Linked DNA regions of Macaca mulatta. The protein of the gene in region 1 purifies or fractionates together with the protein of each later gene. This does not show direct contact. Links are inferred from orthologs where the notes say so. Each region holds a gene or a part of one and is shown in the gene's direction. Other genes may lie near its edges.

Region 1 (4,051 bases):
ACTAATTTTTGTATTTTTAATAGAGACACAGTTTCACATGTTGGCCAGGCTGGTCTTGAACTCCTGACCTCGTGATCCACCTGCTTCAGCCTCCCAAAGTGCTGGGATTACAGGCGTAAGCCACTGCACGCAGCTGAGCTACCATGCCCAGCTATTTTTATTGTATTTTATTTATTTATTTATCTATTTATTTATTTTTGAGACAAAGTCTTGCTGTGTTGCCCAGGCTGGAGTACAAAGGTGCCATCTCGGCTCACTGCAACCTCTATAGCTTGACACCTCAAATTTCGTAATTTTATATTTGTTGATTTCTTCCAAATGCTTATATGTAGAAATTTTTCTCTTTGTTTGTTTTGTTTTTTGAGACAAAGTCTCACTCTGTTGCCCAGGCTGGAATGCAGTAGCATGATCTTGGCTCACTGCAACCTCCGCTTTCTGGGTTCAAGCAATTCTCCTGCCTCAGCCTCCCAAGTAGCTGGGATTACAGGTGCCTACCACCATGCCTGGCTAATTTTTTTTATTTTTAGTAGAGATGGTGTTTCACCATGTTGGCCAAGCTGGTCTCGAACTCCTGACCTCAGGTGATCCACCCGTCTCGGCCTCGCAAAGTGCTGGGATTATAGGTGTGAGCCACCGTGCCAGGCCCTCTGTTCTATTTTATTAAGAACTTTAAATTCTTAATTTAATAGCTATAAAATATCATGGCATCTGCTTATATAATTATGATTTTTGTTAATGTACTGGTAGACTTTTGTTGTTCGTAATTGTAGTGACTCTGAGTCAGTTTCCTTACCAGTAAAATAGGAGTACCATCACATTTGATTCCTGCCCTACAGGAATAAGTGCTCCTGGTCTTTCGGTGTAATAATGGAAACTAATGTTATTTCCCTTCACCAGAGTAAACTGCACATGGAGGGGTTCCGGAGCTTGAAGGAGGGTGAGGCAGTGGAGTTCACCTTTAAGAAGTCAGCCAAGGGTCTGGAATCCATCCGTGTCACCGGACCTGGTGGGGTGTTCTGTATTGGGAGTGAGAGGCGGCCAAAAGGGAAGAACATGCAGAAGCGCAGATCAAAAGGAGACAGGTATGGACTGGAAGGCAGCTTTTAGGTTGCTGGAGCATCCCCAGTCTCCCAATCCTGTCAGTTTTGGGTCACACAGCAAAACACGAAGGGAAGCCTGTGGTCCCTGGCAGCATCTGGAAGGCTGAGTGCCTGCAATAGGTGTGGGCAAGGGCAGTAGGTGAGGAGGGCACTGGGGGTGACTTAGTGCTTCTACTTGGGACAAGTAAGTTTGCTCTGTGGGCTCTAGCCTCAATTGTTAAGTGAGGCCAGTGATACTAACATCCTAGGATGGTTTTAGAATTAAAGGAAATCATGGATTTGCAAATGATGCGACAAGATAGTATTATCTGTATCTGTTGTTGCTTTACCAGGTCTGCAAATGGCGGGTTTCCTTAATCTTGTTTGGTCTTTTTTTTTTTTTTTGAGACGGAGTCTCGCTCTGTCGCCCGGGCTGAAGTGCAGTGGCCGGATCTCAGCTCACTGCAAGCTCCGCCTCCCAGGTTTACGCCATTCTCCTGCCTCAGCCTCCCAAGTAGCTGGGACTACAGGCGCCCACCACCTCGCCCGGCTAGTTTTTTGTATTTTTTAGTAGAGACGGGGTTTCACCGTGTTAGCCAGGATGGTCTCGATCTCCTGACCTCGTGATCCGCCCGTCTCGGCCTCCCAAAGTGCTGGGATTACAGGCTTGAGCCACCGCGCCCGGCCATCTTGTTTGGTCTTAAAGCCCCTTAGCTCTGAACAGATACTATAATTTGGCTTCTTTAATTTCTCTTATATTAAGGGTATGGAAGAATCTCTCCTATCCTCCAAGTTGCAGTTCCCAGTTGGGGTCAGTAACTTCTATTTCTGGTGTCTTGGTATTTTCAAGTTGACATGAATCTGAAGAGATCACCTAGACAATTAGATGTGGAAAGGACTTAAGAGATCATTTAGTAATAGTCCTCCTTTTGTAAGTGGGAAGTTTGGTCTCTGGGAAGGGAAGTAAGTGACAAACCTGTACCACAGCCAAGGTGTCCTCATTCATGGGAATCATCTGGCCTCTTCTTGCTCCTTTCTCTTACTTTTACCATCTTGCTTTGTACTAGGTGCTACAACTGTGGAGGTCTAGACCATCATGCCAAGGAATGCAAGCTGCCACCCCAGCCCAAGAAGTGCCACTTCTGCCAGAGCATCAGCCATATGGTAGCCTCATGTCCGCTGAAGGCCCAGCAGGGCCCTAGTGCACAGGGAAAGCCAACCTACTTTCGGGAGGAAGAAGAAGAAATTCACAGCCCTGCCCTGCTCCCGGAGGCGCAGAATTGAGCCACAATGGGTGGGGGCTATTCTTTTGCTATCAGGAAGTTTTGAGGAGCAGGCAGAGTGGAGAAAGTGGGAATAGGGTGCATTGGGGCTAGTTGGCACTGCCATGTATCTCAGGCTGGGATTCACACCATCACCCTTTCTTTCCTCTAGGTGGGGGGAAAGGGTGAGTCAAAGGAACTCCAATCACGCTCTGTCCAAATGCAAGTGAGGGTTCTGGGGGCAACCAGGATGGGGGAATCACCCTGCAACCTGCATACTTTATCTGAGGCTCCATTCCCAGAATTTCCAGCTTTTGAAAGTGGCCTGGATAGGGAAGTTGTTTTCCTTTTAAAGAAGGATATATAATAATTCCCATGCCAGAGTGAAATGATTAAGTATAAGACCAGATTCATGGAGACAAGCCACTACATTCTGTGGAAGGGAATCTCTCAGGAGTAAGCAGTGTTTTTTTTTTTTTTTTTCACATCTTGTATCCTCATACCCACTTTTGGGATAGGGTGCTGGCAACTGTCCCAAGCAATGGGTAATGATGATGGCAAAAAGGGTGTTTGGGGGAACAGCTGCAGACCTGCTGCTCCTGTGCTCACTCCTGCCCCATTCTGAGCCAATGTGATTTTATTTATTTGCTCCCTTGGATACTGCACCTTGGATCCCACTTTCTCCAGGATGCCAACTGCACTAGCTGTGTGCGAATGACGTATCTTGTGCATTTTAACCTTTTTTTCCCTTAATATAAATATTCTGGTTTTGTATTTTTGTATATTTTAATCTAAGGCCCTCATTTCCTGCACTGTGTTCTCAGGTACATGAGCAATCTCAGGGATAAGCCGGCAGCAGCTCCAGGTCTGCGCAGCAGGAATACTTTTTGTTGTTTTTGCCACCATGGAGAGCAACTATTTGGAGTGCACAGCCTATTGAACTACCTCATTTTTGCCAATAAGAGCTGGCTTTTCTGCCATAGTGTCCTCTTGAAACCCCCTCTGCCTTGAAAATGTTTTATGGGAGACTAGGTTTTAACTGGGTTGCCCCATGACTTGATTGCCTCCTACTGGAAGATTGGGAATTAGTCTAAACAGGAAATGGTGGTACAGAGGCTAGCAGAGGCTGGGCCAAGTGAAAGGCCCAGAGAGCAAGCCAAGATTAGGTGAGGGTTGTCTAATCCTAGGGCACAGGACGTGTTTTACATCTCCAGATCCATTCTTCACCAGATAAGGCTAGGCCTACCATGCACCACAGGGTGTGTGTGTGTTTGTAAAACTGCAGTTGCCAAGGATAAGTTTTAAGACCAATACCCCTGTACTTAATCCTGTGCTGTCCAAGGATGGATATATGAAGTAAGGTCTAAGATTCTTAACCTGTCAAAATTCTCGGGTTCCAGGGAGACACACAAGTGAGGGCTTTGTGGTGCCTGGGGCCTGTGTCCTGCCCTGCTGCAGTAGTGATTAATAGTGTCATGGTAGCTAAAGGAGAAAAAGGGGGTTTCGTTTACATGCTGTGAGATCACCGCAAACCTACCTCACTGTGTTGAAACGGGACAAATGCAATAGAACGCATTGGGTGGTGTGTGTCTCTTCCTGGGTTCTTGTCTCCCCTAAATGCTGCCCCCCCTCTAGTTATTGTATTTGTCTGGGCTTTATAGGACTTCACTAAGTTGATTGCTAGGTGGCCTAGTTTGTGTAAATATAATG
Region 2 (4,051 bases), on another chromosome or scaffold:
CTCTTGATGATGATTTTGACTTTGATGATCCAGATAATCTGCTTGAGGATGACTTTATTCTTCAGGCCAATAAGTCAACAGGAGAGGAAGAGGGAAGGGATATACAGTATGTGTGGTTTGTTTCAAAGCAGAGATGATGACCTAAGTGTTACTGCTTCAGTGGGATGGTAACCATAGAACGTTACAGTTGGAAGAGACCTTCAAGAGCATTTAATCTGAGACTTCTGTATTTTAGAGCAGAAAATGTGAAATTTATTGCTTTTCCTACCAAACTGGGTTGATCAGACACCCTCCTGCCTAGACAAGAACCTTTCCTGCAATACCTTCCGGTTTTACTTGTGTAAAGTGATTTTGTTCTGTTACTTTTTAAGTTGTTTTGGTAGGTAATTTGTGACCTTTACTTTAGGAAATCTGAGAATGAAGATGACAGCGAGTGGGAAGATGTGGATGATGAGAAGGGAGATAGCAGTGATGACTATGACTCTGCAGGCCTATTGTCAGATGAAGATCGTATGTCTGTGCCCAGAAAAACCCACAGAGCTATAGCAGATCACTTGTTCTGGAGTGAGGAAACAAAAAGTCGCTTCACCGAGTATTCGATGACTTCCTCAGTCATGAGGAGAAATGAACAGCTGACCCTACATGATGAGAGGTTTGAGAAGGTAAGGTCCCCAAATAAGGGATGCTTTAGTACTATCTTATGATATATATATATATATTTTTTAATACCTGTCAACTTTAGCCCAGGTTGAAGTGCTCACCAACCACAAAGTCAATCATAGGAAATTTACAACTATCCAGCTATAGGTTCATGTAGCCAGCATAAAGCAGAAGGTTATCAGTGCAGTACAGGAGCACAAAGACTGGAAAGGGAGCATAGAACTGTGCAGAAGAAGAGTAATCGCCTAGGAGGATGTGACTTTTCCAATTTATATCACACGCTTACACCTGGAGGTGGCCCAAATGATGTCTCATTCAACCTGAATGGATAACCAAAAGTAGTTGTAATCGTTTTATTCTCAGTAACTGTGGTAGGACAACTCACTTGAGTTTCTATTTGGCCCTTAAAACCCCCAAGAAGTGGTCCTGAAAACCCCCATCATGTCTAATGTTGTGCTTCTTTATTGTGTGTGTCATATAGATTTGTCTCAGATTAGAATGTGAATTCCCCAAGGACAGAGAGTTTTTTGTATTTTGCTCACGGATACATCCAAAATCCTAAACTGGTGTCTTGGCATGTAGTAGAAGTTTAAAGTGTTCCATAAATGATAAATGTATGAAGGAATAGTTTCCTTCAAGGTGAATCTAAAGATAGAAGCAATCCAGTAGAGGACCTTGATGAAGCCAAGTGGGTTGAGGTGGATCTGGAAGCTGGACCATCCTCTGGCCAAGTCAGCCAATCCGCCTGTGAGCTAAGTAGATGTTAGGCGCCTTGCTGTGTGCCTTGCTTTTTGTTTTTTAAATTTTTTTAAAAAGAGAGATTGGGACCCAAAGCTAAAACTTTTGAGTGTTGAAAACAACGTATCTCTTTATTAAAACAGAGCATAAAAGCACCCTACTTATTGTTGTTTTCCCTTTACACACTCTGTGAGGCCAGTCACCCTAGTTTTGATTCTGGAAAGAACGTGTATAGGTCAAAAGGAGTTGGCTGATCAAACATTCTTATTGTCCCCCTTGAATTCTGACATCCTGATTCTCAATTTCTCCAACAGTAATCCGTAAGATGTTGTATTTCTGAAGTATTGGCCTCATTGAGCACATCAAAATTCCATTTCTTTCCATTTCTCATCTGGAGTTTTCAGACATAACTAACACTGAGGAACATAATGGAAGTAGAGTATAAGACGCTTTTGAAAGTTTGAATTTTCATATACTGTATTTGGTTCTGTTGTAACAGATTAGCTCCAGGGTTTGTGATCCCAACCTATAGACTGTTTATAAGACTTTTAATCCCACCTATCCTGTTGTTCTGTAGCACATAACACCTCCTAACATCATGTCTAATGTTGTGCTTCTTTATTGTGTGTGTCATATAGATTTGTCTCAGATTAGAATGTGAATTCCCCAAGGACAGAGTTTTTTGTATTTTGCTCACGGATACATCCAAAAGCCTAAAATGGTGTCTTGGCATGTAGTAGAAGTTTAAAGTGTTCCATAAATGATAAATGAATGAAGGAATAGTTTCCTTCAAGGTGAATCTAAAATAAAGGCTCTTACCTTGCTACCTTGTCAGCTAATACTATTTTCCCTCCTCTCTTGAGGGAGAAGCAAATTGTTGCTACACGTCTCACACTTCAGGAGATATATCCCCCCCATTTACTCTTTGTCAAAGCTTAACAGTGTCAACACCATTTGCATAATATAATAATTATTGTCTAGACAAGAACGAAATATGTACATTAGTGGGAGAATTTTCAGTTGCACAATCTTTTAGTTTGCGTAACTAAGGAATTTGAAAATATCTTCAGGCTGGGCATAGTGGCCCATGCCTATAATCCCAGAACTGTGGGAGGCCGAAACAGGTGGATCACTTGAACCCAGGAGTTTGAGACCGTCTTGAGCAATGCAGAGCCTGTTTCTATTAACAAAAATAAATAAAATAGCTGGGTGTGGTGGCATGTGCCTGTGGTCCCAATGCTTCAGAGGCTGAGGAGGGAGGATCACTTGAGCCTGAGAGTTTGAGGCTGCAGTGAACTATGGTCGCGCCACTGTACTCCAGGCTTGGAGACAGTGAGATATTTAAAAAAAAAAAAGAAAAGAAAAAGTATCTTAAAAAATGTTTTGATGTAATCTGTGCTGCCTAGCATTTTGTTCTCCAAGCTAAGTAGAATAATGCCTTTCTTTACATGTTAAATGGAAGCCTATTTTTAGTCTAAATGTAAGTCTTAAAGTACTGAGCAGAAATATCTTCCACATCCTATTGCATTAAATCCCTACTAATATTTTAATGGTAATTGTGATAGTACCTAAATAACTATTGTGTAAGAATAAAATTAATGTAAAAAAAATTTTAAATATGTAGTCTTACTGAGTACATTTGCTTTTCATGTTATCTTTTCTCCGTTTATATTCAAGTTTTATGAGCAATATGATGATGATGAAATTGGAGCTCTGGATAATGCAGAATTGGAAGGTTCTATTCAAGTGGACAGCAATCGCTTACAGGAAGTTTTGAATGACTACTATAAAGAAAAGGCAGAGAAGTACAGTGACTTTTCTTTCCTTGTTTATCTGTTCTTTTTTTTAAAAAAGAAAAAATTCCAAAGAAAGGTCTATAGTATAACTGAATTGAGGAAAAAATTAACCTAGTCAAAATCCATATTAAGAAAATGAAAAAGGAAAAAAAAAGATAGGAGGGGGGAGAAAAGAAAGTGGTACATTTTCCATAAACTTTGGCTCATGTATAGCTCATCTGTTTTGCCTACATTTTGGTGTTAAGCATTCTGAAGTAGAATGTAATGGGAATATACGAGGAGCCACTTTTTCCGTACCTTTGACTTGAGAAGAGTCGTGGTAGAATGTGTTTCGTTTTTTAATTTTTTTTTTTTTTTGAGATGGAGTCTTGCTCTGTTGCCCAGGCTGGAATGTAGTGGTGTGATCTCAGCTCACCTGCAACCTCCACCTCCTAGGTTCAGGTGATTCTCCTGCCTCAGCTCCTGAGCCGATGTGATTACAGGGGCATGCCGCCATGCCCAGCTAATTTTTGTATTTTTAGTAGAGACAGGGTTCCACCATGTTGGCCAGGCTGGTCTCAAACTCAACCCCATGTAATATGCCCGCCTCGGCCTCCCAAAGTGCTGGGATTATAGGCGTGAGCCACCGCGCCCAGCCCATTTTAAATTTTTTTTACTTTTATTTTGCTTACAAGTTAAAGAAATAAAGGGACACATTCCCCTTGGGAAATAAGATGATATTTCTAGTCTTTGGGCTGAAGAATTATTCCAAGTATATGCTCTTTTCATCTTTCTGAAATGCCAGGTGTTTTGAGAAGTAGGTATTTACATCTCGTGGAAAGATAAGAATTTGTCTCTCCAGCTAGATTAGAGGAACT
Region 3 (4,051 bases), on another chromosome or scaffold:
ATCCAGGAGGCAGAGGTTGCAGAGAGCCACGATCACACCATTGCACTCCAGTCTGGGCAACAAAAGCGAAACTCTGTCTCAAGAAAGAAAAAAAAAATTAGCCGCCGTTGTAGCGCGTGCCTGTAGACTCAGCTACTCAGGAGGCTGAGGTGGGAGGATCACTTGAGCCAGGGAGGTTGAGGCTACAGTGAACCATGATTGAGCCACTGCACTCCAGCCTGGGAGATGGAGTAAGACCTGTCTCAGAAAACAAAATAAAACAAAAACGAATAGTGGTCTGGTATTGAGATGAAGATAACTTTGGTTTGGATGTGTTGAGATATGGAGCTGGTCCTTAGATTCTTAGAATTGGAATGTAGGTGAGGAAGGGAGTCTGGAAGTACGTGTTGAGCCATGAAAATAGTAATAAAAGTGAACATAGAGAACAGATACTCAAGGAGCATCCACTGGAGGAGGAAGGAGAGGAACATTGAAGAAGATATGTGGTAGAGGTAAGAAGATAGAGGTAAGAAGGGAATATAAAGTGTAACTGAAACCAAGTAAACGGAGAGTGCCAAGCATTGTGGGTCTAAAGTGGAATAATATATTTAATCACCTTGAGATGTTACTGGGCTTGGACCGAGAGGTTTCACTTTGCCTTGCTTCAACTTCTCCCTGAAGTGCAGGGCCCAGGAGCAATTCAAGCCCCAAGGCTGACTCTATAAATAATCTTGTTTTTCTGTAGAACCTATTGGTTTGGAAAGATATGGGCTAGTGCAGTTAACTGTAGATCAATCAGATGATGTAATGTGTAACTGCAAAGCATTTTCACAAATATTGATCAATTCTCACAGCAATTCCAATTTTATGGATGAGAAAATTATATGTGAAAGAACTCTAAAAGTTGTGTAAGTTATGGTGAACATTTTGGTGGTGGTAGTTTTTACTGTCCCTAGTCACTGCTATCTGTTTTGAACATTTGACCGGGTAATTAATTTTTTTGAGAGTGGCTGAGATTACAGGCGTGTGCCACAACACCCAGCTAATTTTTGTATTTTTAGTAGAGATGGGGTTTCACCATGTTGGCCAGGCTGGTCTCGAACTCCTGACCACAGGTGATCCACCCAACCTCTGCCTCCCAAAGTGCTGGGATTATAGGCGTGAGCCACCGCAGCTAGCCACCAGGCTAAAGTCCTAAATTCCCAAATCCTTTCTTGTGTTCTGTAAATATCACAACACTGACCAGTAGTTTGGCATTTTAAAATTGAAGTTGCAGAATAGTGCTTTTTTTTTTTCTTTAACTAAATTAAAAAAGTAAAAAAAAATTCCAGGGATTACTGTCCTTCCATGGAGGTATAACAATTGGACTTCTGTATGAATTATATAGTTTTGTTTCGTTTTCCTTTAACCTGTGAATTGTCAAAGTACAGGGAGGAAGTATAATGTGAAAAGAGAATGGGCTTTCAAGTCAGGCAGTGCTAGATTCAATTTCTAGTACTTAGAGCTGCGGGAAATCCCACATGTGGATCTTTGGCAAGTTGCTTAACCTCTTAGAGCTTCTGTTTCCTTGTCTATAAAATGGCAAAGGTGGCTGGGCGCAGTGGCTCTCGCCTGTAATCCCAGCACTTTGGGAGGCCGAAGCGGGTGGATCACCTGAGGTCAGGAGTTTGAGACCAGTCTGGCCAACGTGATGAAACCCCATCTCTACTGGTGGTGGTGTACGCCTGTTGTCCCAGCTACTTGGGAGGCTGAGAGGCAGGAGAATCACTTGAACCTGGGAGGCGGAGGTTGCAGTGAGCCAAGATTGCGCCACTGCCCTCCAGCCTGGGTGACAGAGCAAAACTCTATCTCAAAAATAAATAAATAAAATGGCAAAGGTAATACAGGTTCACTATCCCTTATCCAAAATCCTTGGAACTAGTTGTATTTTGGAATTCAGAATTCTGGGGATTTTTAGAAGGATAACACCCAGGTAGGGTTTGGGGCCCAGAACCTGTAATCAAACACCTTAATATTAAATATGAGTAGTCATACTAAGTGGGATAAATAAAGACTATAAAGAGCCTCACATTAGTTCAAGTTAAATTTTGCCATCAAATGAGTTCAGGTAAGGTTTTGCCTCCAAATAAGTTACAAAAAAACTTTCGGTTTTCAGAGCTTTATGGATATCGCAATTTCGGATAAGGGATTATGGACCTGTACTTCCCTTATAGGGTTGTTATGAAGATTTAAACAAGATAAGCTGAAAACACATTACACAGTGCTGGGTAGGTATTCAATAAGTATTAATTTTTTTCTCTTGGAAATGTTGCAAGTTTTTGTTTGTTTAATATTTATAATTCTGGAGTTGTCTTTCTTTCCTTAAGGAGAAACCGTTTTAATTTTCCTTAAATCTTATGAAGGGATTAGAGAGGGGCTAGAGGATGAGCCTTGAGAATGAGGAATGGGATGAGAAAGATAGCAATAGTCGAGGCTTAGAGCTTGGCATTAGTAACCAGTCTGGATTTTTACCAGGTAGGTTTTCAAAGTAACTGTAGATTGAACTGAACTGGTGGGGGAGTCATACGCTAACTTCTCTAGAGTCTTAAAAGAAAACCTCTGACCATCTTGTCATTGCTACTTTCTTTGTTCACAGAGTGACAGAAGGAAGTCAAGGCACCATTATGACTCAGATGAGAAATCAGAAACAAGAGAAAATGGTGTTACAGATGACCTGGATGCTCCCAAGGCCAAAAAAACTAAAATGAAAGAGAAGCTAAATGGAGACACTGAAGAAGGATTTAATAGACTTTCAGATGAATTCTCTAAATCTCATAAGTCAAGAAGAAAAGATCTACCAAATGGAGATATTGATGAATATGAAAAAAAATCAAAGCGAGTATCATCCTTAGATAGTTCTACTCATAAATCAAGTGATAATAAACTAGAGGAGGTATGGATGCTTTTTATTTTGCATTTGACATTATACTTTAACTATAGGTTGATTTTTTTAGGCTAATTATAATTATATAATATTTCTTGATTAGTGTTTAGTACTTACTTTTAGTTACATTAGAGAGTCTGTACAGGTGAAGTCTGAGTCTTTTTTCCTTTGGCCCTTGTTTATTTCATTGTATGACTTTTTTCTTGGGGCCTGATGGGAGAAATAGTCAAATTTAAACCTTTTCTGTACATTTGGGTTCCTAAAGTTATTCTGAATTGCTTGATGGTCACCTACTTGAATTGCTTTTCTTTCTTTTTTCTTTTTTTATTTTTGAGTCAGAGGCTCACTCTGTTCCCCAGGCTGGAGTGAAATGGCACAATCTCGGCTCATGGCAACCTCTGCCTCCTGGGTTCAAGCGATTCTCCTGACTCAGCCTCTCAAGTTGCTGAGATTACAGGCACGCACCACCATTCCTGGCTAATTTTTGTATTTTTAGTAGAGATGGTGTTTCTCCATGTTGGTTAGGCTGGTCTTGAACTCCTGACCTCAAAGTGATCCACCTGCCTCGGCTCCCGAAAGTACTGGGATTACAGGTGTGAGCCACTACCCCAGGCTGATAATTAGTAATTCTTTATATTCTTTAAATATGATAATTGCTGATACACATTTGAGCTTAATGCCTAATCTTTGGGGAGCATTGGGAAAAGATGTTGAATCCTTGTCTTATGACTTTTGACTTTTTTTTTTTAATTTGTGAATTTGCTGTTTGTCAGGAAGCACATGTGTTTGTTGATCTAAATAAGGTCCTTTAAATCTGTATTGCTAACAGTGGAATGTATGGCTTGCTTCTCGCTTTGATGGGATTTTGCTTGGTAAAATCTGTATTATAATAGGTTTAAGAGTTTATTATTTTGTTTAGATCACATGAGAGTTTAGGAATTCTACTTAAAGGAATTTATCCTAAGGAGATGATCAAGAGGTGTGCAGAGCTTTATGAATAAGTACTCTTATCACAGTAATATTGTTGATAATAGCAAATATTTAAACATCCTAAATGTCTGATAGTAGACAATTGGTTTAAATAAAACATACAATAGTTATGTAATAGAATACAGTTATCCCAAAGGGTCTACAATAGAAAAGGTAGTC
Region 4 (4,551 bases), on another chromosome or scaffold:
GATTTCTAGGTCCAGTCCCAGACCGAGCCTGATTCCTAATACTTTGGCATGTGCGTTCAAAGAAGTCTTCCCTTATCACCCAAACAAAAGTAGCCCATCTAGTTTAACTGATTACCACAGTTTAACTATTTTCATAGATACTAGACAATAATTTGTTTATCACTTTTTTATTGTCTCTTTCCCCACCTTAGAATAAATTCCATGAGGATAGGGACTTCGTTAGCCTGGTTTATACCAAACCCGTTTCCTAGAACCCTGCAAGGCCCCCACAGTACGAGGTCAGTAAGTATTTATTGACTAGAATGTACATTGAAGTTTGAAACTGCTGTCATACGTTGTTCCTTCATTTTACAATAGTGAAACTGAGGCCCACGAAGCTGGAAGTCACTGCTGCAGATGGTAAGGGGCAGGGCCAGGATAAAATCTCAGATCTCAGAAGTCCCAATCCAGGGATGGTTCAACTCCGCCCAAAGCAATTCTTGAGGAAAAAAACGACATCCACTTAAAAGAAAAGACATTTTCTGCCCATAAATACAAGGTTTCGCGGTGGGGAGAAGGGCCTGGTCTGGGTGAGGGCTTTGGTAATTCCGTTCCCACTTCCTAGGCGCCCGCTGCCCTCAAGGGCTAAGGAATCGCCTTCCAGGCCCGGAGTCGAACCCATCTCCGGGTAGCGTCGGGGCCAGGCCCGGCGGCGGCGAAGCGCGGAGCACAACCCGCTGAGGTGCGGACGGCTCACCCAACCAAGGTCACCCGGGCGGGGACCGAAGGGGCTAGGCCAGCCGCGCACAGGGGAAGGGGCAGCGTTGGTGCGTCCTCGGGACGGATGAGGGTCCTCCTTCGGTCTCCCGGAAGTCAGGAATGACATTAATGGATCCTTCCCCTGAATCTGACACCCAGCCTAAAGAGCGCGGGCAGGCCCTGCCGCCCGCGTGGCCCGGTCCCATGTGCTCCACCTGAAGCCGCTCTCACGCGCTGGCCCTTTAAGACACCTCCCCTCCTCGCCCAGCCTTCTCTCCTATCCCCCTCAGCGCCCCCACCTACAACTCCCGAATTGCATCAGGCACGTGCTCGCCCCCGTCCGGTCTGAGTGTCCCTACCCCCAGCCCGGGAGGTGCTCTGAGGAATCGGAGACGAGGGGCGGGGCGAGGGGCAGGACCGCGGAGCCGTGCGCGCGCGCTCCCGCCGCCTCCTGCCCGCCCGTCGCCCAGGGCCCGGCCGGCGGGCGCGCCCCCGCTGCGCCGTCCCCCCTCGCCCGCCGCGTCGTGAGGCGCGCGCCCGCCCGCCGCCTGCCGCGGATCGCGTGGTCTGCTCGGCTCGCCGCGCCTCTCCCCCGTCCGTCCATATTGCTGCAGCCCCCGAGCCGGGAAGCCCGGGCCGCCCCGGGGGCGGGGGGGAGGGAGGGACGGGACTAGAAGCCTGCTGGGCTCGGGGTGGGGGCGTCTTGCGAGGAACGGGCGGGGGGGGACGCACGCCAAGGAGGCCTGGACCGCAGAGTGGGGGGCCTTCCTCCCCCCCCGCCCCGCTAGTGGGCCTCGGATTTACGGCGGCTGCATCTAACTGGGAGGGGGCCGCACCTCGCGTGAACCCCGACCCTTCTCCGCAGGGACTGGGGCCCGGCGCCCCGGAGGAAGGCGTCGCGGGCGCTGTGCTAGCCAAGTTCGAGGCGGGGGAGGCAGCTTCGGGCGCGCCCGGCTTCTCCGGGGGGGCGGGCGCGCAGATGGCCACTCAGGTGGAGCCGCTCCTGCCTGGGGGCGCCCCGCTCTTGCAGGCCGAAGAGCACGGGGGGCTGGTGAGGAAGAAGCCGCCGCCGGCGCCCGAGGGCAAGGGCGAGCCCGGGGCAAACGACGTCCGCGGGGGGGAGCCGGACAGCGGCGCTCGGAGACCCCGGCCGCCCTGCGCCAAGCCGCTCAAGGAGGGCACCGGGCAGCAGGAGCGCGAGAGCCCGCGGCCGCTGCAGCTGCCCGGCGCCGAAGGCCCGGCCGTCAGCGACGGGGAGGAGGGCGGCGGCGAGCCAGGCGCTGGCGGAGGAGCTGCCGGAGCCGCGGGCGCGGGGCGCCGGGACTTCGTGGAAGCCCCCCCGCCCAAGGTGAACCCGTGGACTAAGAACGCATTGCAGCCGGTCCTGACCACCGTGAACGGACAGTCCCCCCCAGGTGGGTTTCCCTCCTCGCCCTCCTGGGCCCGGGGGCCTCTTCCGGGGACATGGGAGTCCCCTCCCCCAGCACCTCCAGGGCCCCGGGGTCCGCTACCGGTCATGGTGACTCGGGACTTTTTTAAATTGCCTCCTGGTTGATCCTGGTCGCCGCGCCCTCCCCCAACCGCACACTCAGGGATCTGCCCCTGCCCGAGGACCCGGCCTCCGGGAGGCTGCGGCCACCGCCTGGGCCTCAGCGGTTAGTGGGCAACGGTGTGATCCGGGCCTACCTCGTCGGCAGAGGGTGGGCGCTGGTTTCAGTGAAACGATCCCCACCGCATGCTGGTGTAGGAGACGGTTTCTGGTTTGAACCTTCCTTGGGAAGCCCCTCTTCCCACCCCGCCCGGCGCTCCCCGTTTTGGTAGCGTTGCGAGCGTCCCCATGTTGTAAATGTTTAGTGAGCATATGTCATGGGCAACCCAGTGCCCGGCGCGGAGTACATGCCGGCCGCACGGATTCGGGGATTAAAAGTTAACAAGTTTTGTTCTCGGGGAGATGATCTTGGGCGGTAGAATCGCCATTTGGAGACGGGTTGAAGGGTTAGTTATGGAGAGAAGAAACCCATCGTGCTACCGAATTCGGTGGTTTCCCTCCCCGATCCCGGGCACCTTCCGCCTTAACAAGGAGCCGGACGGCGAGTGTGCTGGGGGAGCCAGTTAGGAGGTTGGCGGAAAATGTGAGGCGGGTGAGGGGCCTGCGGCGACTTGAGGGGCGTGTGGCGGCGGGGGAGGGAGTGGCCCGGCTGGGCGGGCGGGTGACAGTTGGGCGCCATGCGCCGCGCCGGCGTCCCGCGGGTCGCTCGGCCTCGGCGTTCGGCGCGGGCCGCGGCGCTGGGGGTGGCAGGCGGGTGCGGGCCCGCGGCGCCGAGTGTGCGTGTGCGCGGCGCGGGTGTGTGCGCGTCCCCCCTTCCCGGCATTCCTCTGCAGCCGGGACAACGTGGTGCCTCCCCGCGCGGGGAGCGGCATGTGACTGCCGACCGGCGCTCCGCGAGTCCTCCCTCTCCCTCCTCCGCGTTTTGGTCCTTTTGGACCGTGCCCCTTTCCAGGGGGAGGTAAGGGTTGCAGGAAATCCCAGCAGAGCCGTGTCAGCGTGGGGAGAGAGGCGGTGCAGAATATGGAGTCTGCTCCTGGGCTGCCTTTGCCGAGAATAGATCGTCTGCTTGGATGGGGGGGGCGCGCCCACTCTTCCCTCGGCCGGCGCATAGGGCGGGTCTCCATTCTTTGGTTTTGGGTCCGTTTGAGGTGGGTCGGTTTGAAACTGTCTTGTAGTTAGAATGATGGCCTCTGGTCGTAGCCCTGGTGCTTTTAAAAAAAACTCCTCTCCTGCCGTAGCTGATTGAGGCTAACTGGTTTAAACCATTGAAAATAAAGGGGGTGCTTAATGCCTTTACAGTCAAAGAAGTAGAAGCACTGCTAGTCCTAGGGAAGCCAGAATAGCCAGTCCTGAAAACAGCATGTTGCAATTTTTATTTCTTTTCAGGTTGCTTCATTTGGAGGAGAGGACATTGGGGGTTTACTAACAGTCCCTCAAACTGTGTTCTCTTCCTTCTCCCCTCCTTCCCTTCCCCCCTTTCCCTTCCAGAGCCCTCTTATGCAAAAGACAGTGCAGAAACCTCCGTTTTCTTTCACATCCCTCCTATCCACCTACAGAATGAGGGAAAACAACTTTAGAACACTCTTTGGTCCTTCTCCACTCTTTAAACTCAAAAGGGTATAATCATCCGCGGGAGAGAGCACTCCTTTTAAATGGGGCTACTCATCCTGGCTGCTGCTTGGCTAATGGTGAACCTGCCTTGTGGGTTTTAAATCAGCCATGACATCAGGTGGTATTGGGTGCCTGAGCTGGCATTTTGTGTAAGTCCAGGAGCCCTTGATAGTGTGCGTCACTGGGGTTATTGATCGTGGGAAGAAGACAGCTTGGCTGGCATCTCACCTTTTTCTCTGAGTGGAGAAGCTGACTTGCTTTAATTGCCCAAAGCAAAATTCTCAGTAAGGGTAGATTTGCTCTGTTATTGTTTTTTGGAATCTTAAGGTAAGAGAGTGTCTACTCATTGGTTTAGAACCTTTGGAATAGGTTTTGACAGCCTAACTCAAGTTAATTCCGTAGCTTCTCTCTCTAAGCTTGTTGTTAGGACTTGTGTGTATTTTGAGAGAGAATTCTGTGATTGGGCTGTCAGTCTTATAAGGCTAGATGGTGGCACTTTCTCTGGAGTCTACATGAATCTCTGAAGTGCTTTTCCAGCCCTGGTTTTATTTACAGCTTCGACCAATTTAAATGTGACGCTAGTGGAGTGGCTGTGTGGTCTTGGGAATTTTTGTGTTCTGTGATGCATATGTTTTTGGGAGTCTACAGAAATG
Region 5 (4,489 bases), on another chromosome or scaffold:
CTAAATTAAGAGCTAAACAGTAAGTATGTTGAACTAATCATGACATACTTTGAATTCCTTAATGCTCTGACAGAAATATAGTTGGTGAGCTCTGAAATAGTGGCAGTAGACCTTTCTCTTTGCTAGTGAAACATTGCGATCTTAAGCTGCCTTGACAATTTCGGGGCCAAATTGCATTGCAGTCTAGCATTGGACGATCAAAAAAACCTAAGGACTTCTGGCTTTGGTTAAGTAAGTTTAGTGATCATGATTGGTTAACTTTATTAGGACTTAATTTTCTTATATAGTAAATGGAAGTATGTTATAATTATGATATTTTTATTTGTAGAGAGCAAGAAGCAAAACAAAAGTTAGAAGAAGATGCTGAAATGGTAAGTATATATTACTGCTATCTAGTATATCTGTAATTCATAGTTAAATGAATAGCTTTTAAGTCTGAGGACTTTTTCAAGAAAATATGTAAGCAAAGCTATCTATAGTTGTCATTGCACAGGTATTATATTGAGGGAAAAGAGAACACTAAGGATAGGAAATATGTTCTAAAATACGAAAAGGCCGGGTGCAGTGGCCCACGCCTGTATTCCCAGCACTTTAGGAGGCCAAGGTGGGTGGATCACCTGAGGTTGGGAGTTCGAGACCAGCCTGGCCAATATGGTGAAATCCCGCCTCTACTAAAAATACAGAAATTAGCCAGGCGTGGTGGTGTATGCCTGTAATGCCAGCTACTCGGGAGGCTGAGGCAGGAGAATCACTTGAACCCAGGAAGTGGAGGTTGCAGTGAACCAAGATCATGCCACTGCACTCCAGCCTGGGTGACAGAGTGAGACCCTGTCTAAAAATAAAGAATATAATAAAACACAGGAAAATATATTTTGAAATATTCAGAAAAAGTTCATTTATGCCTAGAACTTATGTTTATGAGAAAATGTCCTCCTATAACTTCTAAAGATTCTAATCATAGATTAATACTTTTTTTTTTTTTTTTGAGACAGAGTCTCGCTCTGTTGCCCAGGCTGGAGTGCAGTGGCCAGATCTCAGCTCACTGCAAGCTCCGCCTCCCGGGTTCACGCCCTTCTCCTGCCTCGGCCTCCCAAGTAGCTGGGACTACAGGCGCCCGCCACCTCGCCCGGCTAATTTTTTGTATTTTTTAGTAGAGACGGGGTTTCACCGTGTTAGCCAGGATGGTCTCGATCTCCTGACCTCGTGATCCGCCCGTCTTGGCCTCCCAAAGTGCTGGGATTACAGGCTTGAGCCACCGCGCCCAGCTATTTTTGACTTAATAAGATAGTGATGTGTATTTCCATTTAGAAAGTTACAGGTAAAATTTTTTATTTGGGGAAAATAATAATGACTCTTTAAAAAAAAATTTTTTTTTTCTTTTTTTGAGACGTCTTGCTTTGTCGCCCAGGCTGGAGTGTAGTGGCGCGATCTGGGCTCACTGCAAGCTCCGTCTCCTGGGTTCACCCCATTCTCCTGCCTCAGACTCCTGAGTAGCTGCGACTACAGGCACCCGCCACTATGCCCAGCTAATTTTTTGTATATTTTTTTTTAGTAGAGACGGGGTTTCACCATGTTAGCCAGGATGGTCTCCATCTCCTGACCTTGTGATCCGCCTACCTCGGCCTCCCAAAGTGCTAGGATTACAGGCATGAGCCACTGCAACTGGCCTAAAAAATTTTTAAAGTATGATAAATACTGCCTGGAATTATTTTCCAAGATAGTTTAATAACCAGATTTTATGTAGTTTATAACTAAATGCCAGTTGTATAAGAGATCAAATAATATTGAAAGCCATTTTGGGATAAAGGATGACAAAGGAAAACACCAACACTATGAAACTGCTTTATTTATTTATTATTATTATTTTTTTGAGATGGAGTTTCGCTCTTGCTGCCTAGGCAAGAGAAACTACTTTAAAATAGCATTTTGGTTTCTAGGCTCTTGTATAGCTATAATGTGGTGTCAGTCATTTATGGTCTGTTGTTGCTTTTAAGAAACTTTTTGATCGCTTTGTATATTTTTATAGAAATCTCTAGAAGAAAAGATTGGATGCTTGCTGAAATTTTCAGGTGATTTAGATGATCAGACCTGTAGAGAAGATTTACACATACTTTTCTCAAATCATGGTGAAATAAAATGGATAGACTTCGTCAGAGGAGCAAAAGAGGTTTGGAAACATTCCTATGCTTTTTAGCAGTCAGTTTGAAAATCTGTAGAAACTTAGACAAAATTAGTAGAAAGCAATTTTTAAAATTGTGTTTATTAGTTTCTACTTGATCATTTGTTGTTATTGTCACTAGATGTGATGTCTGATATTTTCTGAATTATACTAGTTTCTACTTGATCGTTTACTTTGTTGTTATTGTCACTATATGTGATGTCGGATAGTTTCTGAATTATACTATGAATAACTGTTCATATTGATTATTGCAGTTTTACTTCTGTAGCATTCCTTTTCTACTGTTCAGTAAAGTTCATTGAAACTGGTAAAGGCATGGAAGGTTTGCAGGGTAGAAAAAATTACTTTGAACAAAGAAATTAATTGTGGGACTAAAAAACTAAGGGTATGGCTTTTGTTTTCTGTCTCTGATATAGGGGATAATTCTATTTAAAGAAAAAGCCAAGGAAGCTTTGGGTAAAGCCAAAGATGCAAATAACGGTAACCTACAATTAAGGAACAAAGAAGTGACTTGGGAAGTACTAGAAGGAGAGGTGGAAAAAGAAGCACTGAAAAAAATAATAGAAGACCAACAGGAATCCCTAAACAAATGGAAGTCAAAAGGTCATTTATTCTGATTTTTCTTTAACAGTTTGGTTGTTGAACCCATTTACTTGAGCAAAAACTTTAATCAGTGTTCAAAAACATTGACAAGAGACTTAAAAAAAAATTCTTTACAGAGTGCTCAATTGTGTCTCTACAGGTCGTAGATTTAAAGGAAAAGGAAAGGGTAATAAAGCTGCCCAGCCTGGGTCTGGTAAAGGAAAAGTACAGTTTCAGGGCAAGAAAACGAAATTTGCTAGTGATGATGAACATGATGAAAATGGTGCAACTGGTAAGTTTTTTCCTAAGTCCTTTGGTAGTTTCATGAGAAAATTTGTACTTCCATAAATAAATGATTTGCCAGAGAATAGGGATTTGGCTTTTCAACTTCTGGATAAGTGCCAGTCTTGGATTATTATGATTTACCTTGGTTATGCTGTTGTATAAGTCAGGGACAGGATATTTGGAAGATGAATCTAGAGGTCAGGTCTGTACTAAGAGAAAAGCCTTTTCTCATTGGTGCAAGGAAGTTGTTGCATCTTTTTCAACAGTATCATTATTAGTAATTGTACTCAGTATTAAAATAGAGCAGTACTTACGTTGAATTTAACAAAAATTAATTGTTACGTTATAGGACCTGTGAAAAGAGCAAGAGAAGAAACAGACAAAGAAGAACCTGCATCCAAACAACAGAAAACAGAAAATGGTGCTGGAGACCAGTAGTTTAGTAAACCAATTTTTTTATTCATTTTAAATAGGTTTTAAACTACTTTTGTTTGCGGGGGCTTTTAAAAGGAAAACCGAATTAGGTCCACTTCAATGTCCACCTGTGAGAAAGGAAAAATTTTTTGTTGTTGTTTAACTTGTCTTTTTGTTATGCAAATGAGATTTCTTTGAATGTATAGTTCTGTTTGTGTTATTTCAGATGTTCAAATATCAAAAGGAAGATTCTTCCATTAAATTGCCTTTGTAATATGAGAATGTATTAGTACAAACTAATAAAATATATGCTATATGAAAAGAGCAAAAACAGTTTTTTTTTTTTTCTTTTTGTACCCAGAGCATTTAATAAAGAACTAGAATATTAGCTGTTGACCATGGGCCCTTCCCACAGGCCATTTATGGTGTCTCCTAGGCTGTCTTTCTATATTTACACAGGAAAGTTGATAACACTAGAAATAATTACTTGTCATAAAGCTTTTCTTTTTTTTTCCTTTTTCTTTTTTGAGACTGACTCTCACTCTGTTGCACAGGCTGAAGTGTAGTGGGGCAATCTCAGCTCACTGCAACCTCCGCCTCCTGAGTTCAAGCGATTCTCTTGCCTCAGCCTCCCGAGTAGCTGGGATTACAGGCATGAGCCACCACGTCCGGCCCAGAAAACTTTTCAATACCGAATGTAGACCAGCCAAAATCAAGAGACTTACTGATTTCTTTTTATGAAACTTGTATGATGCTGGCAGGTCATATCGAAGCTCTGTAAAACAAAAGCCACCTAAGGATAAAATTATATTTCCAAGCATTTACCACCCTTGACTAAACAACAACAACAACAAAAAAAAACTAAGACAAGTATTAAGTGCTGGTAAACTGAACATTTTAGAACCTTTAACTTATCCAAGTAGTGACTTGCTATATTCCCAGCATTGGCCATGGCAGCTTGGCATTTCTGTTATTATGGCCATTTATACTGAAATTTGAGGTTACAAGTGAAGAGTTTAGAAGGATAAA
Region 6 (4,243 bases), on another chromosome or scaffold:
GAGACTGTCTCAAAAAAAAAAAAAAAAAAAAAGTCTCCAGCCATTGTCAAATATGGTGGGAGGGAAAGGGGGGAAAGGGCAAAATCACCCTTGTTTTAGAACCACTACCTTATCCAATGACTGTTCATTCACCCATCACTACTCAAAACTTTCTCTTCGTACTTCCAGATGTTTTCTTGTGGAGAAAAAAAGCCTCTACTCCTCTGGTTTATCTGGCAACTCTCCAGAAAGTCTAATTGTGTAGCACAAGGGTAGAGTGTACTTAAAATTGTAAAAGTTTTTCCTCATACTATTCCAAAAAAAAGCAGTTTTTATCTTTTCAGTGGTATTTGATGAAACTAAAACGCTTTCTCCAGATGTTACGAACCTCCCAGAGTTAACCCATAAACATTTACCTTATCTCCCACCCCAGGCACTGCGGATTACAGAAAATATCTGACACCTATTTTCCAGATCTGTTCAAGAAGTGTCTGTTGGGCATGGTGGCTCACGCTTGTAATCCCATCACTTTGGGAGGTCGAGGTGGGAAGATCACTTGAGGCCAGGAGTTCCAGACCAGCGAGGCCAACATGGTGAAACCCTGCCTCTACTAAAAATAGAAAAAATTAGCCGGGAGTGGGTGGTGCATGCCTGTAGTCTCTGCTACTCGGGAGGCAGAGGCAGGAGAATCGCTTGAACCCCGGAGGCGGAGGTTGCAGTGAGCCGAGATCGCGCCACTGCACTCCAGCCTGGGTGACAGAACGAGACTGTGTCTCAGGACAAAAAAAAAAGGTGACTCATATAGTTCTTGTTTTTACAACCCGAATATCTGAATTCAGGTAAAATATTCTGCCTGACCAGGGCTACATGATAAGCTACGTACCTGCTCATTTCGCAGGGTCGCAGCACCCTTCTTACTACTATTTAGGCAATATAGGTTTCTGACCGGGAAACCAGCGGAGCTGAGCGGGCTGCAAGAGGGGTGGGTTCAGGATGAGAAGTTGGGATGGGTGACGAAGGAGTAGAGAGTGAATCTTGGCTGAAAAGTAAGGAAAATAACTGTGAAGAAGAGATGACCCAGCTTGAAATAAAGCCTGAAGACCTCACCTCCCACTTGAGAGAGAGAAGCAGCTGAAAGCCATCAGCTTGCACTCTGGGCTTTCAGACAGGGAGCGTGAGGGGTTGAGACCAGATCTACGATTTCACACCCCTGTCTCGGCCCCTAGGCCTGACCATTCATTCAAATTCTCAATAAAAAAGGATTACCAGACCCTGCGCAGGGAACACATCTGGGAAAACAGCTGCAACCTCGGAGACCAGCACGGGACAAGCTATCTCTGGGCAATAAGGAACAACTAAAGAGAATCCCAGGAACCAGGTAACCAATCGCCAGAAGCCCTCCGCCCTCATGATCCATTGGGTCAAGGCCCCACTGCCGCCTCGTATCGCCAGCCTCCAGTCCTGCCACCACGACGCACCCTTCCCCAAGGCTGGCCGGGTCTGGATGTCGCCATCCCCTATTCCGAGCTACAGACCTCGCAGCTGAACTCTTAAGGAGAACTTCCCTTCTTCCTCACGGTGCTGCAGCTCCGTACAATGTACTGAGCCTCGCCAGCCACCGTACGCGAGGTCGCGGCGCGTCCGTGACGTCACTTGTGTGCGCTTCTGCCGCACTAAGGGAAACATGGCTCTATCGCGGCCAGTGAGGCTCTTTTCCCTCGTGGCTCGGTTGATCCTGGCGCCCCGACGAGGTCTCACGGTCCGCAGTCCCGACGAACCCCTGCCGGTGGTGCGTATTCCAGTGGCTCTACAGCGGCAGTTGGAACAACGGCAGAGCAGGCAGCGGAACCTCCCGAGGCCGGTGCTGGTTCGACCTGGACGGCTGCTGGTCTCGGCGCGGCGGCCGGAGTTCAACCAGCCGGCGCGCCTCACACTGGGTCGTTGGGAGAGCGCGCCGCTAGCCTCTCAAGGCTGGAAGAGTCGACGCGCGCGTCGGGACCACTTCTCCATCGAGCGAGCGCAACAGGAGGCGCCAGCTGTGCAAAAGCTCTCGTCTGAGGGCAACTTTGCTGACCTGGGCCTGGAGCCCCGTGTGCTGCACGCACTACAGGAGGTTGCGCCTGAAGTCGTTCAGCCCACAACCGTGCAGTCTAACACCATCCCCCAACTACTTCGCGGCCGCCACGTCCTTTGCGCCGCAGAAACCGGCAGTGGCAAGACTCTCAGCTACCTCCTGCCGCTGTTTCAACGGCTCATGGTCCAGCCAAGCCTGGACTCCCTTCGTATCCCCGCTCCCCGAGGCCTAGTCCTTGTTCCTTCCCGAGAACTGGCCCAACAGGTGCAGGCTGTGGCCCAACCCTTGGGCCGCTCCTTGGGCCTGCTGGTGCGGGACCTGGAGGGAGGCCACGGCATGTGTAGGATCAGGATGCAATTGGCCAGACAACCTTCAGCAGATGTGCTAGTGGCCACTCCAGGGGCTCTGTGGAAGGCCCTGAAAAGTCGACTGATTAGTCTGGAGCAACTCTCGTTCTTGGTGTTGGATGAGGCAGACACACTGCTGGATGAAAGCTTCCTGGAACTGGTGGACTGCATCTTAGAGAAGAGCCACATAGCAGACGGCCCAGCTGACTTGGAAGACCGCTTCAATCCCAAAGCTCAGTTAGTGCTGGTAGGAGCCACATTTCCCGAAGGTGTAGGCCAGTTGCTGGATAAAGTCGCCAGCCCAGATGCTGTCACCACCATCACCAGCTCCAATCTCCACTGTATCATGCCTCATGTGAAACAGACATTTCTGAGACTGAAGGGAGCAGATAAGGTAGCCGAGCTGGTGCACATTCTCAAGCATCATAACAGAGCAGAAAGGACTGGCCCCTCAGGAACTGTTCTGGTGTTCTGTAATAGCTCCAGCACTGTGAACTGGCTGGGATATATTCTGGATGATCACAAAATCCAACACCTAAGGTTGCAGGGGCAAATGCCGGCCTTAATGAGGGCAGGAATCTTCCAGTCCTTCCAGAAGAGCTCCCGAGACATACTTCTCTGCACAGACATAGCCTCTCGGGGCCTGGACAGCACCGGTGTGGAGCTGGTTGTCAATTATGATTTCCCCCCAACGCTGCAAGATTACATCCACAGAGCAGGGAGAGTGGGCCGTGTGGGGAGCGAGGTTCCAGGCACCGTCATCAGTTTTGTGACCCATCCCTGGGATGTGAGCCTGGTTCAGAAGATTGAGCTGGCGGCTCGCCGAAGGAGAAGTCTTCCAGGACTAGTATCCTCGGTGAAAGAGCCTTTGCCGCAGCAACCTGATTTTGACAAATCTGATTAAAATGTGATGCTAGAACAGGGATATTTCCCAGTATCTTGAGTGGGTGATCACACTTGTAAGTGGGAGGCTGTGGGCTGCCGTCAGCTCCTTGAGGGTAGGATGAACTGCCATGTGACTTGGAAAGGTAAGATGCTAGCCAGCATTGGAGAAGAAGCTGCTGAGCATGGCTTTCTGTAGTCTTTCACAAGACACAAGTGGATTTTGACTTTGTATCATGTCATGATTTCTAATAATAAATGATGTTTTTATGTGCCTCCCCTAAGAATATTTAGCACTGGAGTGGAATTCAGTAGTTTCTGAGGATTCATACCCCAGACTGCCACATCTAGGACAAAGGCTCTTTCAGTTGATGTTTTAATTTATAAACATTGAGTTTTTATTTCCTGCCCCCAAAAAGGTATCCATTAAGCCCCCAGGGAAAGGAAAGGAACTATGACCAGCAGTAGACAGAGTTCTTCACTAACAGCGCTCAAGACAAACGGGCATCTTGGCGAAATCTCTCTGGAAGGTACCGGCAGGAAAGTAAAGGGTAGACTAACACAGAAGTTTTGCTTGTACTTCTATCCCAACTCAGTGGCCGAGAAAGAGGAGAGATGATTAAACTGTTTTACAAAACTGGCAAGATAACCATATAGCATTTTTTTAATATATATATATACAAAAAAATTATAAAAATTAACCCGGCATGGTGGCACGTGCCTGTAGTCCCAGCTACTCGGGAGGCTGAGGCAGGAGAGTCACTTGAACCTGGGAGGCGGAGGGTGCAGTGAGCCAAGATCATACCACTACACTCCAGCCTGGGGGACAGAGCAAGACTCTTATCTCAAAAGAAAAAAGCCGGGTGTGGTGGCTCACACCTGTAATCCCAGCACTTTGGGAGGCTGAGGCGGAAGGATCACTTAAGATCAGGAGTTTAAGACCAGCCTGGCAAACATGGCA
Region 7 (4,472 bases), on another chromosome or scaffold:
GCTATGATCTAGAACCACCCAGCTACACTGTTGCTAGATTCCTGACCCTCAGAATAGTATGAGATAATATGTGTTGTTTTCAATCCGCTGATTTTTTTTTTTTTTGAGACGGAGTCTCGCTCTGTTGCCCAGGCTGGAGTGCAGTGACTTGATCTCAGCTCACTGCAAGTTCCGCCTCCCGGGTTCACGCCATTCCTGCCTTAGCCTCCAGAGTAGCCAGGACTACAGGTGCACGCTGCCACACCCGGCTAATTTTTTTGTTTTTTTTTTTAGTAGATACGGGGTTTCACCGTGTTAGCCAGGATGGTCTCTATCCCCTGACCTCGTGATCCGCCCACCTCGGCCTCCCAAAGTGCTGAGATTACAGGCGTGAGCCACCGCGCCCGGCCAATCTGCTGAATTTTGGGGGTAATCTGCCACACTGCAGTAAATAACTACCAGCGATGACCAAACTTTTACCCTTCCAGACCTTGCAGACCAGGCAGCTAACACTTCCCATCCCACGGTCTCAGGAAACACCACTTTCCACTCCTGTGTCCCCGACAGGAATCATCAGACAAGTCGAACTCTCACCTTCTCAAGCAACACAACCCACCCTCCTGGCCTAGCCCACTCCTGAAGCCTCACTCAGTCTCACCTCAGCCCCTACGCAATTCCTCTCGGTTGTCAGGCCTCCATCGGCGGGGGTCGAGTGTTGTGTGTGACCCCAGGTCTCCAGCAAGGTATAGTGGGAGGGAAGCATCCGGGAGAAGAGAGGTGGATTGGGCTCTCCCTCTCCCCCATACCGCCACCCTCCCTCACGCCCATATCCTGTCCAAGGCTCTTCCCGCGTCTGCTTCTGAAATCCCTCCACATCCCTCCACCCCATGTGCCCCACTCGTTGCACAGGAGCAGAGAGAACCGCAGAACACACGTCTACGATTATGCCACTCTTCAGATTTACATCTTGCAGCAACTTCCCACTGCGTTAGAACGGAAGTAAACCTCCCAACTCACAGACCTCACCCGAGCCCCCACGTCCCGCGTCGCCGGCCTCTCAACCGACGGTGCCCTGATCCTCTCGGAGCGAGCGCCGCGGGCTGCGCCGGGTCCCAGGCCTGCGCCTCTTCCCCATTTCCCAGGGGTCTTTGCCGACCACCCTCCTGCGCCACAGCTGCTCAAGTTCTGTTTACTTGCTTTTCCCTCCCCACCAAAAGGTGAGCCTTGAGAAGACACACCCTTGTGTAGAGCTTTGAACTTTTATCCGGAAAGGTGCCGGGCACATAGTCGGTGCCCGGGAGCACTTGCTCACAAGGTTCCTTCCGAGACCGCCCTGCAGCCTCTTTCCGGATCCCCCAGGCACCCCCGACCCCGGCCTCGCCCCACCCTACCCTCGCCCCAGCCCCGCCCTGCCCTCGCCCCAGCCCCCCCCTGCCCTCGCCCCAGCCCCGCCCCGACCCTGTCTCAGCTTCGCCTCGGCTTCATCCCGCCCCAGCCTCGCCCAGCCCCTCCTCTCCCCTCCCCGCCCGTCCCCTTCCCGCCCCCGCCCCGCCTAGCCCCGCCCCAGCCCCGTCCCAGCTTCGCCTGAGCCAGGTCCCAGCCCCGTCCCACCATCGCCGCGCCCCAGCTTCATCCCGCCCCAGCCTCGCCCCTTCCTCTCAGGGCCCCCGCGCCCCGCCCCGCCCCGCCCCGCCCCGCCCGCGACCCTGCGGAACCTAGAGTCGCAGGCGCCCTCTTGGAGGACGGAATTCGACGTCGGACTCCGCCTCGCGTAGTTCCGGTGGCGACTGCGGAGCATGGCGGTGAGCGGTGTGGAGAAGACGCGCGGGTGGCTGGGCGTCGCACTGTCGGTGGCCCTCCGTGACCCTCGTGCTGCCCCCCTTTCTCCAGGCCCTAGGACATCTTGCCGGGGAGGCAGCGGCGGCCCCAGGCCCGGGTACTCCCTGCGCGTCCCGCAGACACCGGCTTCCCGGCCTGGTTTCCAGCGTCCGGAATCCCTCCACTGTCTGTCTCTGCCCAGGGCAACCCACGAGCAGTAACGCCGACACCAGAGCGCACCCGTTAGGCGATGAAGGCAGTGCAGCGTCGAAAAAACAAAAGAATAAGAAGAAAACCCGGAACAGGGCCTCTGTGGCAAATGGAGGCGAGAAGGCCTCAGAGAAACCCGCCCCAGAAGAAGTGCCCCTAAGCGCTGAGGCCCAGGCAAGGGCGGGCGTCATTCAGGAAGGGTGGAATCCCCTAGTGCGAATCCACGGGCACATGTGATCTGGGGTCCGCAGAGTTAAGGCGGGGAGGGGGATGGGATGGGGCCAGGCGCAGTTTTGTGTCCCAGTGCCCTCTCACAGCCACTTCCCCAAATCCCTCACAGGCGCAGCAGTTGGCCCAGGAATTGGCTTGGTGTGTGGAACAACTGGAGCTTGGCCTCAAGAGGCAGAAACCCACCCCAAAACAGAGTAAGGGACCTTTCTATAGAGTTGGGGAATGTGAACAGTGGCACCGCCTGGCCTGCAGGTGCTGGCAGAGGTGAAGTTGTTTCCTTTGCGGTGGGGCGGTAGGAGGTCAGTAGTAGAGGTTTTCACTAGTCCTTTGTTTTTATTCGCAGAAGAGCAGGCTATTGGAGCAATCCGAACCCTGCGCAGCAAAAGAACGCCCCTGCCCCGGAAGAGGCAGTTGATGCACTCCTTGTTTGGAGACTATAGGGCTCAGATGGAAGCCGAATGGCGTGAGGCCCTGCGGGCTCTCAGATCTGGTGAGGAGCTAGTAACTGGTTGATTTAGGAAGGCCTAATTTAAGGAGGAAGTGCCTAGGGGGTGAAAGGAAGAAGGCCCAGAGCAACAAGGCTGGTGGGGGAAGGAGATGAGCTCAGGGAAGCCTGAGGGAACAGGGAAAGAGTAAGGATGGACCTGTCTCTCCTTTTCCCAGGACTGAACCTGGGAAGCAGCGGGGAGGTCATGGGAGGAGCGGGAAAGAGTGTGACCCTGTGTTGGTCCTGCTCCTGGCTTGGGGAAAGCTGCGTTATGTCTTTGTGTCTTGGCTCTCTCTACTGGCAACGAAGCCATATCCCATAACAGTTTGAGTGCAATTCCTGGAGCCAGATGAGCTAGGTTCAAATCCTGGATCTACCACATAGTAGTACTAACACCTTTTGCAAACTACTGAACCTCTCTAAATGGGCGGTGATAGTAATATCAACCTTACAAATTTGAGGAATTAGTTAATTTATTCAAAGTGGTTAGAATTGTATGGGCAAACATAACTGTACAGGTAATGTTAGCTGTTGTTATTCAGTTCTCACATACGCTGCTTCTCTCCCCTGACAGCTGCTTATTTAGCCCAGGTGCAGCCTGTAGATGGAGCCACCAGAAAGAAGAGCCGAAGGGTCTGCAGGCCTCGCCCTATAGGGCGAGCCAAAGCCACTCTGGACACTCCTGATGAAGAGTTTAGGTTCAATTTCTTTTAGCTTCTCCCCTGACCTGGAACATTCCCCCTCCCTTGGGGTGGTGTAGGGGTTTGTTTTGAGTGCAGAGCCTTTTCAGGACTTCTGTTGGGAGAGAACCCTGGGGTTGGTCTGTCCCTGGCTGGTCCAAGTATTTGGAGCTGTTGTGAAGGTGTGAGACCATCAGATAGGCAAAAGACCCCATTTGTTTTGTGATGAAATGTTCTCTCTTTCAGAACAGAGAGAGAGGTGCGTTTAGAAAATGTACAATAAATTGAAGTGACTGTTTGAAGTATTGTAGAAAGAATATTGTACTCAGTCTTTAGGATTAGATTAAGTGGCTGTTGGTAACAAAGATTAGTGGAGAAGCTATATAATTATACACTGTTTTTCACTTTTGAAAGGAATTCCTGTCAAATGGTTTAGTGCTTAATGCTGTTATGTCACATTGCCCTAGTCTTTATTTTTGATAAAATTGGATAACGAGTGAAAGAGTGTGCTGACCAGCTGTGTTAGAGGAAGTACAGAAGACGGCAGGGGTCTGGTTCCCTGGGTCCAGTCCCTTGCCTCGATCCTTTGTCCATGTTGCCTTCATTCCTGAGCAGGTGTCATCCTCAGGGAACCAGCATGGCAGCCACCAGGCATGGCTGTCTTCTCAGGAGGAAGGAGCTTCTTGCCCTAACAGTTCTGGCCTGAGACCTGGATTGAGCCTCGGCATGTTGGAACCGAACTGTTGATTCCCTCCTGGGCAGGGGTTGCCGCGAAGGATTACCGACACGAGATTCACAGCAGAGAGTTATCTATTACTAGCGCGCTAGGGTCCCAAGCTCTAAGTTGGCCCTGGGACCCCGACTGCTTGTTACAGGTTGTTTATATAGGCAAACACAAGTTTAAACACAGCTTATGGCGCGAAATTTAAACAAAGCTTAAGGCGCAAAATGATTGGGTCTAGCTATGGCCTGAGCAAGGTGTTTTATGCTAATTGGTTAGAGCAGGACCTTATGAGGTTTTTTCCTGGAGTTGTTGATTCCGGGAACTTCGAGGCAGGGTGGGACAC

Evidence for each region.
Region 2: the proteins of LIN28A (region 1) and LTV1 purify together in Homo sapiens (affinity purification with mass spectrometry; 3 studies listed by BioGRID and IntAct, with this or other methods). This does not show direct contact. The link is inferred for Macaca mulatta from reciprocal best matches to the Homo sapiens genes LIN28A and LTV1.
Region 3: the proteins of LIN28A (region 1) and DDX50 purify together in Homo sapiens (affinity purification with mass spectrometry; 3 studies listed by BioGRID and IntAct, with this or other methods). This does not show direct contact. The link is inferred for Macaca mulatta from reciprocal best matches to the Homo sapiens genes LIN28A and DDX50.
Region 4: the proteins of LIN28A (region 1) and LARP1 purify together in Homo sapiens (affinity purification with mass spectrometry; 5 studies listed by BioGRID and IntAct, with this or other methods). This does not show direct contact. The link is inferred for Macaca mulatta from reciprocal best matches to the Homo sapiens genes LIN28A and LARP1.
Region 5: the proteins of LIN28A (region 1) and SSB purify together in Homo sapiens (affinity purification with mass spectrometry; 3 studies listed by BioGRID and IntAct, with this or other methods). This does not show direct contact. The link is inferred for Macaca mulatta from reciprocal best matches to the Homo sapiens genes LIN28A and SSB.
Region 6: the proteins of LIN28A (region 1) and DDX28 purify together in Homo sapiens (co-immunoprecipitation; 3 studies listed by BioGRID and IntAct, with this or other methods). This does not show direct contact. The link is inferred for Macaca mulatta from reciprocal best matches to the Homo sapiens genes LIN28A and DDX28.
Region 7: the proteins of LIN28A (region 1) and C8H8orf33 purify together in Homo sapiens (co-immunoprecipitation; 3 studies listed by BioGRID and IntAct, with this or other methods). This does not show direct contact. The link is inferred for Macaca mulatta from reciprocal best matches to the Homo sapiens genes LIN28A and C8orf33.

The regions. Positions count from the first base shown.
Region 1 is NC_133406.1:214,578,043-214,582,093, reverse strand, and holds part of LIN28A (protein lin-28 homolog A), read left to right. Parts: intron 1-897; coding exon 898-1,082; intron 1,083-2,146; coding exon 2,147-2,363; 3' UTR 2,364-4,051. UniProt on the Homo sapiens protein: RNA-binding protein that inhibits processing of pre-let-7 miRNAs and regulates translation of mRNAs that control developmental timing, pluripotency and metabolism.
Region 2 is NC_133409.1:49,122,187-49,126,237, forward strand, and holds part of LTV1 (protein LTV1 homolog), read left to right. Parts: coding exon 1-106; intron 107-406; coding exon 407-662; intron 663-3,075; coding exon 3,076-3,203; intron 3,204-4,051. UniProt on the Homo sapiens protein: Essential for ribosome biogenesis.
Region 3 is NC_133414.1:80,734,433-80,738,483, reverse strand, and holds part of DDX50 (ATP-dependent RNA helicase DDX50), read left to right. Parts: intron 1-2,134; exon of another isoform or gene 2,135-2,246; intron 2,247-2,614; coding exon 2,615-2,911; intron 2,912-4,051. UniProt on the Homo sapiens protein: ATP-dependent RNA helicase that may play a role in various aspects of RNA metabolism including pre-mRNA splicing or ribosomal RNA production.
Region 4 is NC_133411.1:163,622,144-163,626,694, forward strand, and holds the start of LARP1 (la-related protein 1), read left to right. Parts: upstream 1-1,269; 5' UTR 1,270-1,717; coding exon 1,718-2,153; intron 2,154-2,424; exon of another isoform or gene 2,425-2,564; intron 2,565-3,108; exon of another isoform or gene 3,109-3,245; intron 3,246-4,551. UniProt on the Homo sapiens protein: RNA-binding protein that regulates the translation of specific target mRNA species downstream of the mTORC1 complex, in function of growth signals and nutrient availability.
Region 5 is NC_133417.1:74,728,128-74,732,616, forward strand, and holds the end of SSB (lupus La protein), read left to right. Parts: coding exon 1-19; intron 20-328; coding exon 329-371; intron 372-2,026; coding exon 2,027-2,167; intron 2,168-2,595; coding exon 2,596-2,782; intron 2,783-2,921; coding exon 2,922-3,053; intron 3,054-3,395; coding exon 3,396-3,484; 3' UTR 3,485-3,549; coding exon of another isoform or gene 3,550-3,588; 3' UTR 3,589-3,791; downstream 3,792-4,489. Other genes in the region: rRNA N(6)-adenosine-methyltransferase METTL5, read right to left, coding at 3,550-3,588, 4,186-4,235. UniProt on the Homo sapiens protein: Binds to the 3' poly(U) terminus of nascent RNA polymerase III transcripts, protecting them from exonuclease digestion and facilitating their folding and maturation.
Region 6 is NC_133425.1:63,592,253-63,596,495, reverse strand, and holds DDX28 (putative ATP-dependent RNA helicase DDX28), read left to right. Parts: upstream 1-1,630; 5' UTR 1,631-1,663; coding exon 1,664-3,304; 3' UTR 3,305-3,569; downstream 3,570-4,243. Other genes in the region: DUS2 (tRNA-dihydrouridine(20) synthase [NAD(P)+]-like), read right to left, coding at 1,246-1,389. UniProt on the Homo sapiens protein: Plays an essential role in facilitating the proper assembly of the mitochondrial large ribosomal subunit and its helicase activity is essential for this function. May be involved in RNA processing or transport. Has RNA and Mg(2+)-dependent ATPase activity.
Region 7 is NC_133413.1:155,451,805-155,456,276, forward strand, and holds C8H8orf33 (UPF0488 protein C8orf33), read left to right. Parts: upstream 1-1,752; 5' UTR 1,753-1,775; coding exon 1,776-1,781; intron 1,782-1,869; coding exon 1,870-2,220; intron 2,221-2,347; coding exon 2,348-2,432; intron 2,433-2,581; coding exon 2,582-2,728; intron 2,729-3,299; coding exon 3,300-3,439; 3' UTR 3,440-3,704; downstream 3,705-4,472.